Linked DNA regions of Oryctolagus cuniculus. The protein of the gene in region 1 interacts with the protein of each later gene in a pairwise test. Links are inferred from orthologs where the notes say so. Each region holds a gene or a part of one and is shown on either strand. Other genes may lie near its edges.

Region 1 (5,216 bases):
GGGCACTATTATATAGACACTACTCAGGGGCTGGCACTGTGGTGCAGCAGGTAAAACCACTGCCTGCAGTGCCGGCATCCCATGTGGGTGCTGGTTTGAGTCCTGACTGGTCCACTTCCAATCCATCTCCCTGGTGATGCACCTGCCGCAGAAGATGGCCCAAGTACTTGGGCCCTTGCACTCATGTGGGAGACCTGGATGATGCTCCAGGCTTCTGGCTTTGGTCCTATCCAGCCACAGCCATTGCAGCCATTTGGTGAGTGAACAAGAGGAAGGATCTCTCTCTCTCTTTGTGTATGTGGATTCCCCTCCCCTCAACTCTTTCAAATAAATAATCGAATAAATCTAAAAAAAACCACTACTCAGAAATTTGCTTCAACGTAGTGTTAAGAAGTTATAGTTCGGCCGGCGCCGCGGCTCACTAGGCTAATCCTCTGCCTAGCGGCGCCGGCACACCGGGTTCTAGTCCCGGTTGGGGCGCCGGATTCTGTCCCAGTTGCCCCTCTTCCAGGCCAGCTCTCTGCTGTGGCCCGGGAGTGCAGTGGAGGATGGCCCAGGTGCTTGGGCCCTGCACCCCATGGGAGACCAGGAAAAGCACCTGGCTCCTGGCTCCTGCCATCGGATCAGCGCGGTGCGCCGGCCGCAGCGCGCCGGCTGCGGCGGCCACTGAAGGGTGAACCAACAGCAAAGGAAGACCTTTCTCTCTGTCTCTCTCTCTCACTGTCCACTCTGCCTGTCAAAAAAAAAAAAAAAAAAAAAAAAAAAAAAAAAAAAAGCAGTTATAGTTCATTAATTATTCACTCTGTTTTCAAAAGATATATAACTAAAAGTGTCTGTGATCATCCAGTGGTGATAATAATCTGGGCTTATTTTTACCTGGTTATTAAATAACAGGAAATACGGAGGCCAGTTCTGTGACATAGTGGGCTAAGCCTTCACCTGCAGCACTGGCATCCCTTGTGGGTGCCGGTTCACATTCTGGCTGCTCCTCTTCTGATCCAGTTCTATGATTATGGCCTGGAAGGCCAGCTCTCTGCTGTGGCCCAGGAGTGCAGTGGAGGATGGCCCAAGTGCTTGGGCCCTGCACCCACATGGGAGACCAGGATAAGCACCTGGCTCCTGCCTTTGGATCAGCGCGGTGCGCCGGCCGCGGCGGCGATTGGAGGGCGAACCGACGGCAAAAGGAAGACCTTTCTCTCTGTCTCTCTCTCTCACTGTCCACTCTGCCTGTCAAAAAAAAAAAAAAAAAAAAGGCCTGGGAAAGCAGTGGAAGATGGCCCAAGTGCTTGGGCCCCCACGCCCATATGGCAGATCTGGAGGAAGCTCCTGGCTCTTGGCTTTGGATCGGCCCAGCTGCAGCTGTTGCGGCCATTTGTGAAGTGAACCAGCAGGTGGAAGACCTTTCTCTCTGTCTCTCTCTGTCTGTAACTCTGTCTCTCAAATAAATAATCTTAATAATAGTAATAGGAAATATGGTTAATTCAAACAACTTGAAATCATGCCTCTCTAATTAATATATATTAAATCTGTTATGAAATGAAGAATAAGCTCTCTACAATTAGATGGCTAAACTTAAAACCCTCTTTGTTCCCCCAGCAATGACCCAGTCTATTCCAAATCACAGATCTGAGGAAATAACACTCAGGTTGGGACAGAGACTGTGCTGGGCATAGATAGATCATGGCGCTCACCTCATTATATTGGATTTTCCACTGTATTTGTTGGCCTTCCATGCATCTCTAAGGATCCTGTCCTTCCACGGCTGTATAACCAGAGCTCAGGGAGGAGCTAGCACAGAGAAGGTGCTTGGTAACTCTCTGGTTGGGGCTAGCTGTTTCTCTTCTCTCCTGTGTGCTGGATTAGTGCACAGCCACTTCCTACATCTGCTGCTCAGTTGCAGTGGGACCTGTCAGCTTAACCTTTCTAATTTCTCACCTCCAACTGGCATGGCATTTTGTGTGTGGTTTTAGCACTGCTTCAGGAAAGGCAAACTAACTGTCTGAAATACTTTCATCTCAGAGAGGGATTTATAATCATTTTGTTAAATGATATTTTGTTAAACGAGCATTTGTGCCATAAAGTGAAAGTAGAAAGACAGTTATTGAATAATGAAATTCACTTTCTTGTGGCAGTGGGCATTTAGCCTAGAAGATTAAGACACCTGTGTACCACATTCCAGTGCCTGGGTTCGATTCCCAGCTCCTGCTCCTGACTCCTGCGTTTCTGCCAAAGCAGCTGGCAGATTAAAGTAATTGTGTTCCTGCCACCACCGTGGGAGTCCTGGATTGAGTTCCTCTGGCTTTGACCCAGCCCAAACCATTGTGGGTGTCTGGGGAGTGAACCAGCAGATGGAAGTGCGCTCTCTCACTCTCACGCTCTCTCTCTCTCTCCCCCCCCCTTCCCTCTCTCTCTCCCCTCTCTCCCTCTCTTTCTCCCCACTCCCTTCCTCTTCCTCTGAAATTAAAAAATAAAAAATCCTTTTCTTGGGCGTCTACGGTAAAGCACGCGATCTCCATGGCTATCTTAGAGCAGCCCAAATGACCCTGGCTGATGTGTGGCCCAGACGGGAGCTCTAGGAAACTGAAAACTGGAATTGTCACTTGGGACAACCGCCTGCCCCAGTTTGGCTGTGCATACATTTCACATCTGTATTGTTATTTTAAAGACAGACGGAGCAAACCTCACGTTTCAAAAGTTACTTAAGGAAGTCTCACAATTAACAGAGCAGCCCTGTGACTCATTTTTGGAGACCCGTGTAGAAATAACAACTCCTCCCTTTGCTGAGAAACGGCTTCTGCACGGGCCGGCCTGCGCAGCGCGGGGAGAAGCGCGGCTCCTGGTGAGGGTCCTCTGGGCGCCGCCAGCCAGCGAATTCACTCCGGGGCAGCCTCTGCCTGCGTGCTCTGAGAAAGTCGCGAGCGCTTGCCAGGAACCGCCTCAGCGCTATCATTTGGTCCGCATTTCCTGGCTCCTGAGTCACGCTGTCAAGTTCAAGTCAAGAGGTCCTCATTCTGTTTTTGAGAAAGTGCACCCCACTAGGAAGTGAGCCGTTTTATCAGGCCGAAGTAATGCCCCCACTTTCACAAAAGTGGGGTGGGTGGATCCTTGCAGAAGGCAGACAACAGGTGTCTCTGAGAACAATGCCCACTAAATCCTCAGTCCCTCGCCTTGGAAAAACGAAATAAATAAGAACCAACAACAAGCCATTGCGCTCCGTACGAGAAACCCAGTGTGGCGTCCCTAAGGGCCAGGAAGCGAGGGGTGGACCAGGGCCAAACCCGAAAACCTGGGCCCAGCATCCTGTCGCCGGGCAAGTGAGCGTCCCCTCCCGCCCTCCTTGGGCCCACACTCCCAGCTCCCCGCGTTCGGGACAGAAAAGGAGACCCAGGCAGGAAGGAACGAACCTGGACCCGGGGCGACCGTGCGAGCTGAGAAGCCGCTCTCTTACCCGAGCGCCGGCTTCGCGCTGGGCGCCAGGACGCAGAGAAAACCTGTTGCGCGCCTCTCCGCGGCTCAGCTCTCGCCGCCTCCCACAGCCTCCGCTCCTCCCGCGCCAGAGGCTGGGCTCAGCCGCCGCCTCCCGAACTCCGAGCCGCCGAGGCCGCATCTGGGCGCCGCCGGCTCGGCCCCCGACACTTCGCAAGAGCCCACGGCTGGGATCGAGGCCCCGCCCCGGGACGACAGCGCGGAGGCGCCGCGTCCACCAGCTGCCCGCGCGCAGGTTCCCGCCCCGCCCGCTGCCGGTGCGCTCCGGGCTGCCCGGAACCTGGGGCTCGCGCGCGCCTGCGGTGCGCCGCCGGGCGCTCCCGTGAGGTCGGGGTAATTGGCCACCCGAAGCCATCATCTGTCCCCCGCCTTCCTCTGGGCCCCTGCGGGAAGCGCCGGACTTTCCCGGGGAAACCCCGCGGCTCTGGTGACATTTGCAGCAGGGTGCGTTTCCGTGGCGAGGACGCTTGAAGCGAATTCTGAGCGTGGGTGTGGCCGCCAGAGGACGGCTGAGACGAGGCTGCAGGTCACACGATGGCTGGGCACTGGCTTTCCAGAACCCACGCCGACCGGCACCCTTCAAACCTTTGCCAACGCCAGTTTGAGTTCATTCATTCACTGAGGAGCCAGAGACACGACCATGGCCAAAATATTGCCAAGCCTCTGACGTCTTTGTGGGAATAGGGAAGCAGATACAGTGCGTATGTATTGTGGAAGGCGGTGGGAAGAGCCTTGAAGACCGAGGCTGAGACTTAAAGGTAAGAATAGTGTTCATTAAACACACACACACACACACACAATAAATAAGGGCCAGCGCTGTGGCACAGCGGGTTAGCTGCCTGCAGCACCGGCATCCCATATGGATACTGGTTGGTGCTCCAGCTGCTCCACTTCCTATCCAGCTCCCTGCTAAGGCACCTGGGAAAGCAGCTGAAGATGGCACAAGTCCTTGAGTTCCTGCACCTACGTGGGAGACCCAGGTGAAGCTCTGGGCTCCTGACTTCAGACCGGCCCAGCTCTGGCCAGTGCAGCCATTTGGAGAGTGAACCAGCAGATGGAAGCTAGTGCGCTCGCTCGCGTGCTCTCTCTCTCTCTCTCTTCCTCCCCCTCTCAAATAAATGGAAGGAAGGAAGGAAGAAAGGAAGGGAGGGAGGGAGGGAGGGGAAAGGAAGAAAGGAAGGAAGGGAGGGACGGAGGAAGGGAGGGAAAGAAAGAGAGACACAAACAAACCAAACTCCCACAAAGATGGGAGAATGTAAAAAAAAAAAGAGAAGCAACCAAAGGCCAAAGCTTGAATGGTTTGAGCAAGAAATTAACAAACATCATTTAAAGATGGCACATTTCTGAGAATTGCCTTAATAGTTGATGTGCTGTTTGTGCAAAAATCAAAGGATACTTACACAAACCCATGAAGCAGTCTCCTATTCAGCCGGTCTGTTGTACAGCGACTGTGGTATATGGGGTCTGTCCTTAGCCCAATGGTCCTTACATAGGTGTGACGGTAGTATTGGAGTAAAGCCCAAGATAAATATATATCTATGAGTCCACATTAGTATACATGAATGATCCCACAAGTAAGTGCAAGAGAAGAGACAAACCCCCCAAATAAAACTGCAAACAGTTTATGTAGGTGGTCCGTAGTCACAGAAGAGAAGCACCAACTCTCCACGACTCTCCACTCTGTTAGTGTAAGCTGTGCTTAGTGATGTTCCTCTTAAAAAAAAAAAAAA
Region 2 (5,420 bases), on another chromosome or scaffold:
GGCGCTTTCTCAGCGTCCCAGGAGAGAGAACAGAGCAAATAAAGCCCTCAGGAGACTTCGGCCATTTGCCATTTCTTTCCCACCCAGCGGCCAGAGGGTCTCCCCCGAGACTGCATCCAGTCCCCCCCGGCAGAGAGCCACTCAGACACCAGTGCAGGTCACCGCCCACCGGGGGTTTAATTCGCCTGCGAGAGAATCGGTGAGAGAGGGCGCCTGCCTCTCTCCCATCCAGGGCACCTGGAATGTCCAAGCCCAGGGGAGCCAGGGCCTCGTCCCTGAGCAGCGGAGGGCGGTCCCTGGCCTCAGGCCGTCTCCTCGTCTTCACTCTCTTCCTCGCTCTCGTGGTACTGCCTGCGGTTGGTGTTGACGAAGAGGTCAGAGTCGTCTTCAGAGCTGGACTCCTGCGAGTGCGGCTCGGCTGGGAGTTCGGGCTGAGTCTGTCTGTGGGCGGAAGAGGACACTCAGCCCAACATCTTCGGGGAAAACCATTCTGCAGCCAAGAAGTCCCACAAAAGGAAGACCACCGGCCCACCAAAGCACAGTGCTGCCTTGAAGACCAAGGGGAAAGACGGGGTCACAGCAGCAGTGGGAAAACCCAGGGCACCTGGCTTCCCAACAGCGACACACCCACCTATCACTCCACGCATGTGGGGCTCTCCCCCAGCACCCCGTCACGGGGGAAAGAAGCTGTACTTTCCCTCAACAGCACCAGCGTGAACCCTGTTTGTTTCCCCCACCCTAAGGCTTGTCTTCTTACCCCCCGAGATTTATCTGAAAGTCAGAGCCACAGAGACAGACATCTGGTCACTCCCCAGATGGCTGCCGCGGCCGGGCTGGGCGTCATCCGGACTCCCACGTGGGCCACCTTCCACTGCTCTTCCCAAACCCCTAGAGGAGCTGCACTGAAGGGGAGCAGCCGGGACACAAGCTGACATCCATGAGGGGGGCTGCCCGCCAGGCCACACGGGAGGGGGCTGCCCACCAGGCCTCACCCCCCCCCCCCCCCCCCCGCCCACACGGGAGGGGTCTGCCCGCCAGGCCTCGCCCCCGCCCACAGGGGAGGGGTCTGCCCGCCAGGCCTCACCCCCCGCCCACACGGGAGAGGTCTGCCCGCCAGCTCACACGGGAGGGGGCTGCCCGCCAGGCCTCACCCACCCCCCGCCCACACGGGAGGGGTCTGCCCGCCAGGCCTCGCCCCCGCCCACACGGGAGGGGTCTGCCCGCCAGCTCACACGGGAGGGGTCGCTTGTTTCTCACCTGCTCCTGCTGTTGCTGTGGTCCTCCGCCACTGCAGAGAAGGCCTCCGGCCTGTGCCAAGGGAAGGACCAGGGTCAGAGCGGACGAGGCAACGTCTCGCCGGGCCCGTTCCCTAGCGCGGTGGCCCCGCCTACCATCGCCCCTCCCTCTGCAGGGAGCGCACGTGGTCCTTGCAGAGCACGAAGCAGATCTCAGCCTTCACTTTCTCGCCCTCCTCGATGGGGTCGACGATGAGAAAGTCTCCTGGGGCGGAGCAGGAGAGCCGTCAGTCCTGCCCCTCCGGGAAAGCCTCGGCCGGCTCGGCCGCCGCGGGGCCGCCCCTCACCTCTCTTGATCCAGATGTTCTTCCGGTACTTGGAGGGCATGCTGACCAGGAAGCGCTGCCCCTGGGCCGTCTCCACTTCGTGCAGGTTGTTCCCGGGGGTCCGGAGGACCTGGTCCGGGAAAGAGCAGGCACCAGTCTGCCTCACCAGAGCTCACAGCCCGCGAGCCGCACGGCGCCCTCCTGCACCCACGGGCCCAGGGCGGGGCGGGGGCCCAGGGCAGGGCGGGACGGGGGCCCAGGGCAGGGTGGGACGGGGGGCCCAGGGCGGGGCGGGGGGCAGGGCGGGACGGGGGGCAGGCCGGGGCAGGGGCCCAGGGCAGGGCGGGACGGGGGCCCAGGGCAGGGCAGGGCGGGGCGGGGCCCAGGGCGGGGCGGGGGGCAGGGCGGGACGGGGCCCAGGGCGGGGCGGGGGCCCGCCGCTCACCCTCACGATCTGCTGCTGCTCCGAGGGCACCACGGGCTCCCCCAGCAACTCCTTCACCACGTGCTTCCTCTTGGTGGCCTGAGACATGCTGGGTCCTGGCCAGGGCGGGCAGGGCCGCAGACAGCGCCAGATCCCCCGGACTGGCAGGCTCCGGAGCCAGGACGCGACGTGTTACTGAGGGGAGAGCGCCGTGGTGAGGGGCCCTGACGCCTACCTGGCTGCCTTCGCTTCCCTGGGCCCCAAGAGTTGGCTCAGATCGTCAGAGGGCGAGATAACGAAAACGGCCCGGAGCAGCCGCGGAAGGTGGACTCCTGTTCCCTTCGACGCCGGGATGACCACACAGCTGCGCGCGGGGTCCAGAAAAGCCATTCCGCGCCCTCTCCGGGCGGTGCCGTCCTCAGCACGCAGGCACGCCCCGGTCCAGCGCCGCTGGGCACGGACGAGGGGGCCGCGGCCCTGGCCAGCCGCACCTGCCGCACCTGGGAGCTGGCCAGGGGGCGGGTCCGGGTACCACGAGGCTGGGGGCACTCCGACCTCCGACGTGCCGCCTGCAGCTGCCGCCCTCCCCCCACCCCGTCTTCCTGCCCCTCCAGCTCGGAGGACAGACCCTCGGATAGACCAAGCTTACTTTCCGGCCCTCGCTTTCCGGGTGCTGTCCGAGAAACCCCCACGTCGCCAGGCTGGACGCCCACACTTCAACGCTGAGCCGACGAAAGCACACAAGCAGCAGCTGCCGGCCGTCAGACAGCGCCGTCCGCTTGTGCTCCGGCCCCCGGCGTCCCCGGTCCCCGCAGTCCAACTCAGTCCCTTCCAGGAACTGAACTTCCGCCGTTCCCCCGGAAGCCGTCCGCTCACCCGTCCCCTCCCTCGTCCGTCCCTCTAACTCTTCCCCTCGCCAGGTCAGTCAAGCCCAAGCCCTTGCGTTCCGCGTGTCGGGCAGCAGAGAGAAAGTCTTCCCCCGACAGTCCTCTCCCGCACGCCAAGGAGAGGCCCGAGAAGTGAGGCGGCGGGGACGAGCCGGCTTCCCGCGAGGGGGCGTTAAGGACGCCCTGCAGGCTCGGGACATGGGGTGGGGGGCGCGTCTCCACTCTGTGGCTCGGAGGGGATAGACGCGCCCAATTTGGCTATTTTTTAAGGCGGCCCCCGAGGCGACCCGGAAGCGGAAGTCGAAGAAAGTTCTAGTGGCTTGAGCGGCGGGAGCGGCCGGGTGGCGGGAGGAGCCGTTGCGGGAGCCGGAGCTGCCGGTGCGCGCGGGCCGCGGAGCAGGGCCGCGGCTGGGGGCCGGAGGAGGCGCGGGGAGGCGGGCGGGCCCAGGCGCCGCGGCGGGCCGGAGGACGCGGCCCCGGGCCGGCCGGGCCGCGCAGCGGGCGGGCGGCGGCGCGTGGGAGCCGTGGAGCGCGGCGGGGGCGGGGCGGCGCGCGCCGGGGGGCGGGGCCGGCGCGGCGGCGCGCGCGGCGTGGACGCTGCGGGGCTGCGCGTTCGCGCGGCGAGGGGGCTGCGGCGGCCGGGTGGGTCAGGGCGCGGCGTGCCACGTGACTGTCCGGTCCCAGGCGGGGTCAGCGGCTTTGCCCAGCCAAGGTCACAGGAGGAGTGGCAGCTCCCGGGCCCGGGAACCCGCGCGCGCCACCTGTTCGGCCGCGAGAGTGTTTCCTTCTGGGATGTCGGCAAACCCCGCTCCCGCGGGAAGTGGGCGGGGTCCTCTGGAGTAGTGGCAGAAAGACCCCCCCCGGACCCCCGTTCTCTCATCGGGGAGATGAGCCGGGGGGACTCGCCCCGCGGCTGGCCTGGCTGCCCCTCCGCGTGAGCTGCCCGCAGGCCCTAACCCGGCTTCTCTTGGGATTCCCAGATTAAGCCCGAGCAAGATGACGACGTCGCAAAAGCACCGGGACTTCGTGGCGGAGCCCATGGGGGAGAAGCCGGTGGGCAGCCTGGCCGGCATCGGCGAGGTCCTGGGGAAGAAGCTGGAGGAAAGGGGGTTCGACAAGGTGCGGGGTGGCCGCCGGGCCGGGGCGGGGCCTGTGACCCTGAAGCCGGAGGAGCGGCCCGGGGGCACTGGCCGTCTCTCCCTGTGTTTTGCAGGCCTACGTGGTCCTTGGCCAGTTTCTGGTGCTAAAGAAAGACGAGGACCTGTTCCGGGAGTGGCTGAAGGACACTTGTGGCGCCAACGCCAAGCAGTCCCGGGACTGCTTCGGGTGCCTCCGGGAGTGGTGTGACGCCTTCTTGTGAGCCGCCCGGGGAGCCCCCCGGCCCGGAGTCTGCAGCGGAGGGGGCTCGGCCCTGTGCGCCTCATGGGAAAAGGTTGTTCACCTGCGACGCCCGCCGCCCGCCCTCACCGTTGCCACGGCTCCGGAGCTCACTCCTGCATGCCGCTCCCCGCAGTCCCCTGCCGGTCCCACCGCGACCGCGGCTTCCCGCCCCTCCCGCACCTCCGGTCTGTTTGCCGTTTGGCTCCCTGTGTGGCAGAACCGTCACTGTCCTGTTTTTAAATCAATAAAGTCAGTGGCCTTCACCGTGCTCCGTGTGTCGCGCAGCGAGTGGGCCGGGAGCCGCGGCCCCCCGGGGGTTCGCTGGGTCTCGCACTCCTTATCGGCGAACACCGAAACTGGCAGCCGCCCCGGCCACGTGGGCCTCGGGCAGGTGCCGCCGAGTGTCCCAATCCCTGGGTGACGTGGGAGAGCGTGGGCTGACCTCTGCCTGGGAGTCAGACAGGTTGTGTCGGAGCAGCTGTCTGTCAACAGCCAGGCTCGGCAGCACCTGGTGGAAAAAGCAGTGGGAGTCGGGTGCCAGGGAGAGGGTGGACCGGGTGTGGGAGAGCACCTGCCAGTCATCACGGCACCCGCCCCAGCCTCTGTGTGCCCTGTCACCTTTAGGAGGGGAGCGAGTGTGGGCGTCACAGCCGAGTTATACTTGGACTGTGTTTCAGCCCTGATTATTTTTGTGGGGTAGGGGGAAGGTACAGAGATCTCCCATCGAATGGCCACTCCCTGAATGCCCCCAGCACCCAGGCTTGCGCTAGGCTGAAGCCAGGAGCCTGGAACTCAACCTGGGGCAGGGAACCAAGTACCTGCATTGTCACCTGGTGCATCTGTACAGACCAGCGGGGGACCAGAGTCAGCGGAGCTGGGGCTGGAGCGCTGGCCCTGTGATTCGGTGCTGGCATCCCAGTTGGCGTCAAAGCCAGTTAAACAGAGAGGAGAGGCAGAGAGAGAGGTCTTCCATCTGATGGTTCACTCCCCAGATGGCTGCAATGGCCGGAGCTGTGCTGATCAGGAGCCAGGAGCTTCTTCTGCGCCTCCCACATGGGTGCAGGGGCCCGAGGACCTGGGCCACCTTCTACTGCCTTCCCAGGCCACAGCAGAGAGCTGGATTGGAAGTGGAGCAGCCGGGTCTCCAACCAGCGCCCATATGGGATGC

What was found.
Region 2: the proteins of STX11 (region 1) and EIF1AD interact in binary tests that used the Homo sapiens proteins (3 or more experiments, as listed by UniProt). The two-hybrid records come from large-scale screens. The link is inferred for Oryctolagus cuniculus from reciprocal best matches to the Homo sapiens genes STX11 and EIF1AD.

What each region holds. Positions count from the first base shown.
Region 1 is NC_091436.1:24,387,241-24,392,456, forward strand, and holds the start of STX11 (syntaxin-11), read right to left. Parts: upstream 3,589-5,216; 5' UTR 3,449-3,588; exon of another isoform or gene 3,405-3,448; intron 1-3,404. UniProt on the Homo sapiens protein: SNARE that acts to regulate protein transport between late endosomes and the trans-Golgi network.
Region 2 is NC_091432.1:5,799,742-5,805,161, reverse strand, and holds EIF1AD (probable RNA-binding protein EIF1AD), read right to left. Parts: upstream 3,118-5,420; 5' UTR 3,076-3,117; coding exon of another isoform or gene 3,071-3,075; 5' UTR 2,635-3,070; intron 2,181-2,634; 5' UTR 2,094-2,180; coding exon 2,007-2,093; intron 1,692-2,006; coding exon 1,583-1,691; intron 1,501-1,582; coding exon 1,392-1,500; intron 1,309-1,391; coding exon 1,258-1,308; intron 903-1,257; coding exon of another isoform or gene 768-902; exon of another isoform or gene 758-767; intron 442-757; coding exon 303-441; 3' UTR 153-302; downstream 1-152. Other genes in the region: BANF1 (barrier-to-autointegration factor), read left to right, coding at 3,071-3,075, 3,853-3,991, 4,086-4,232.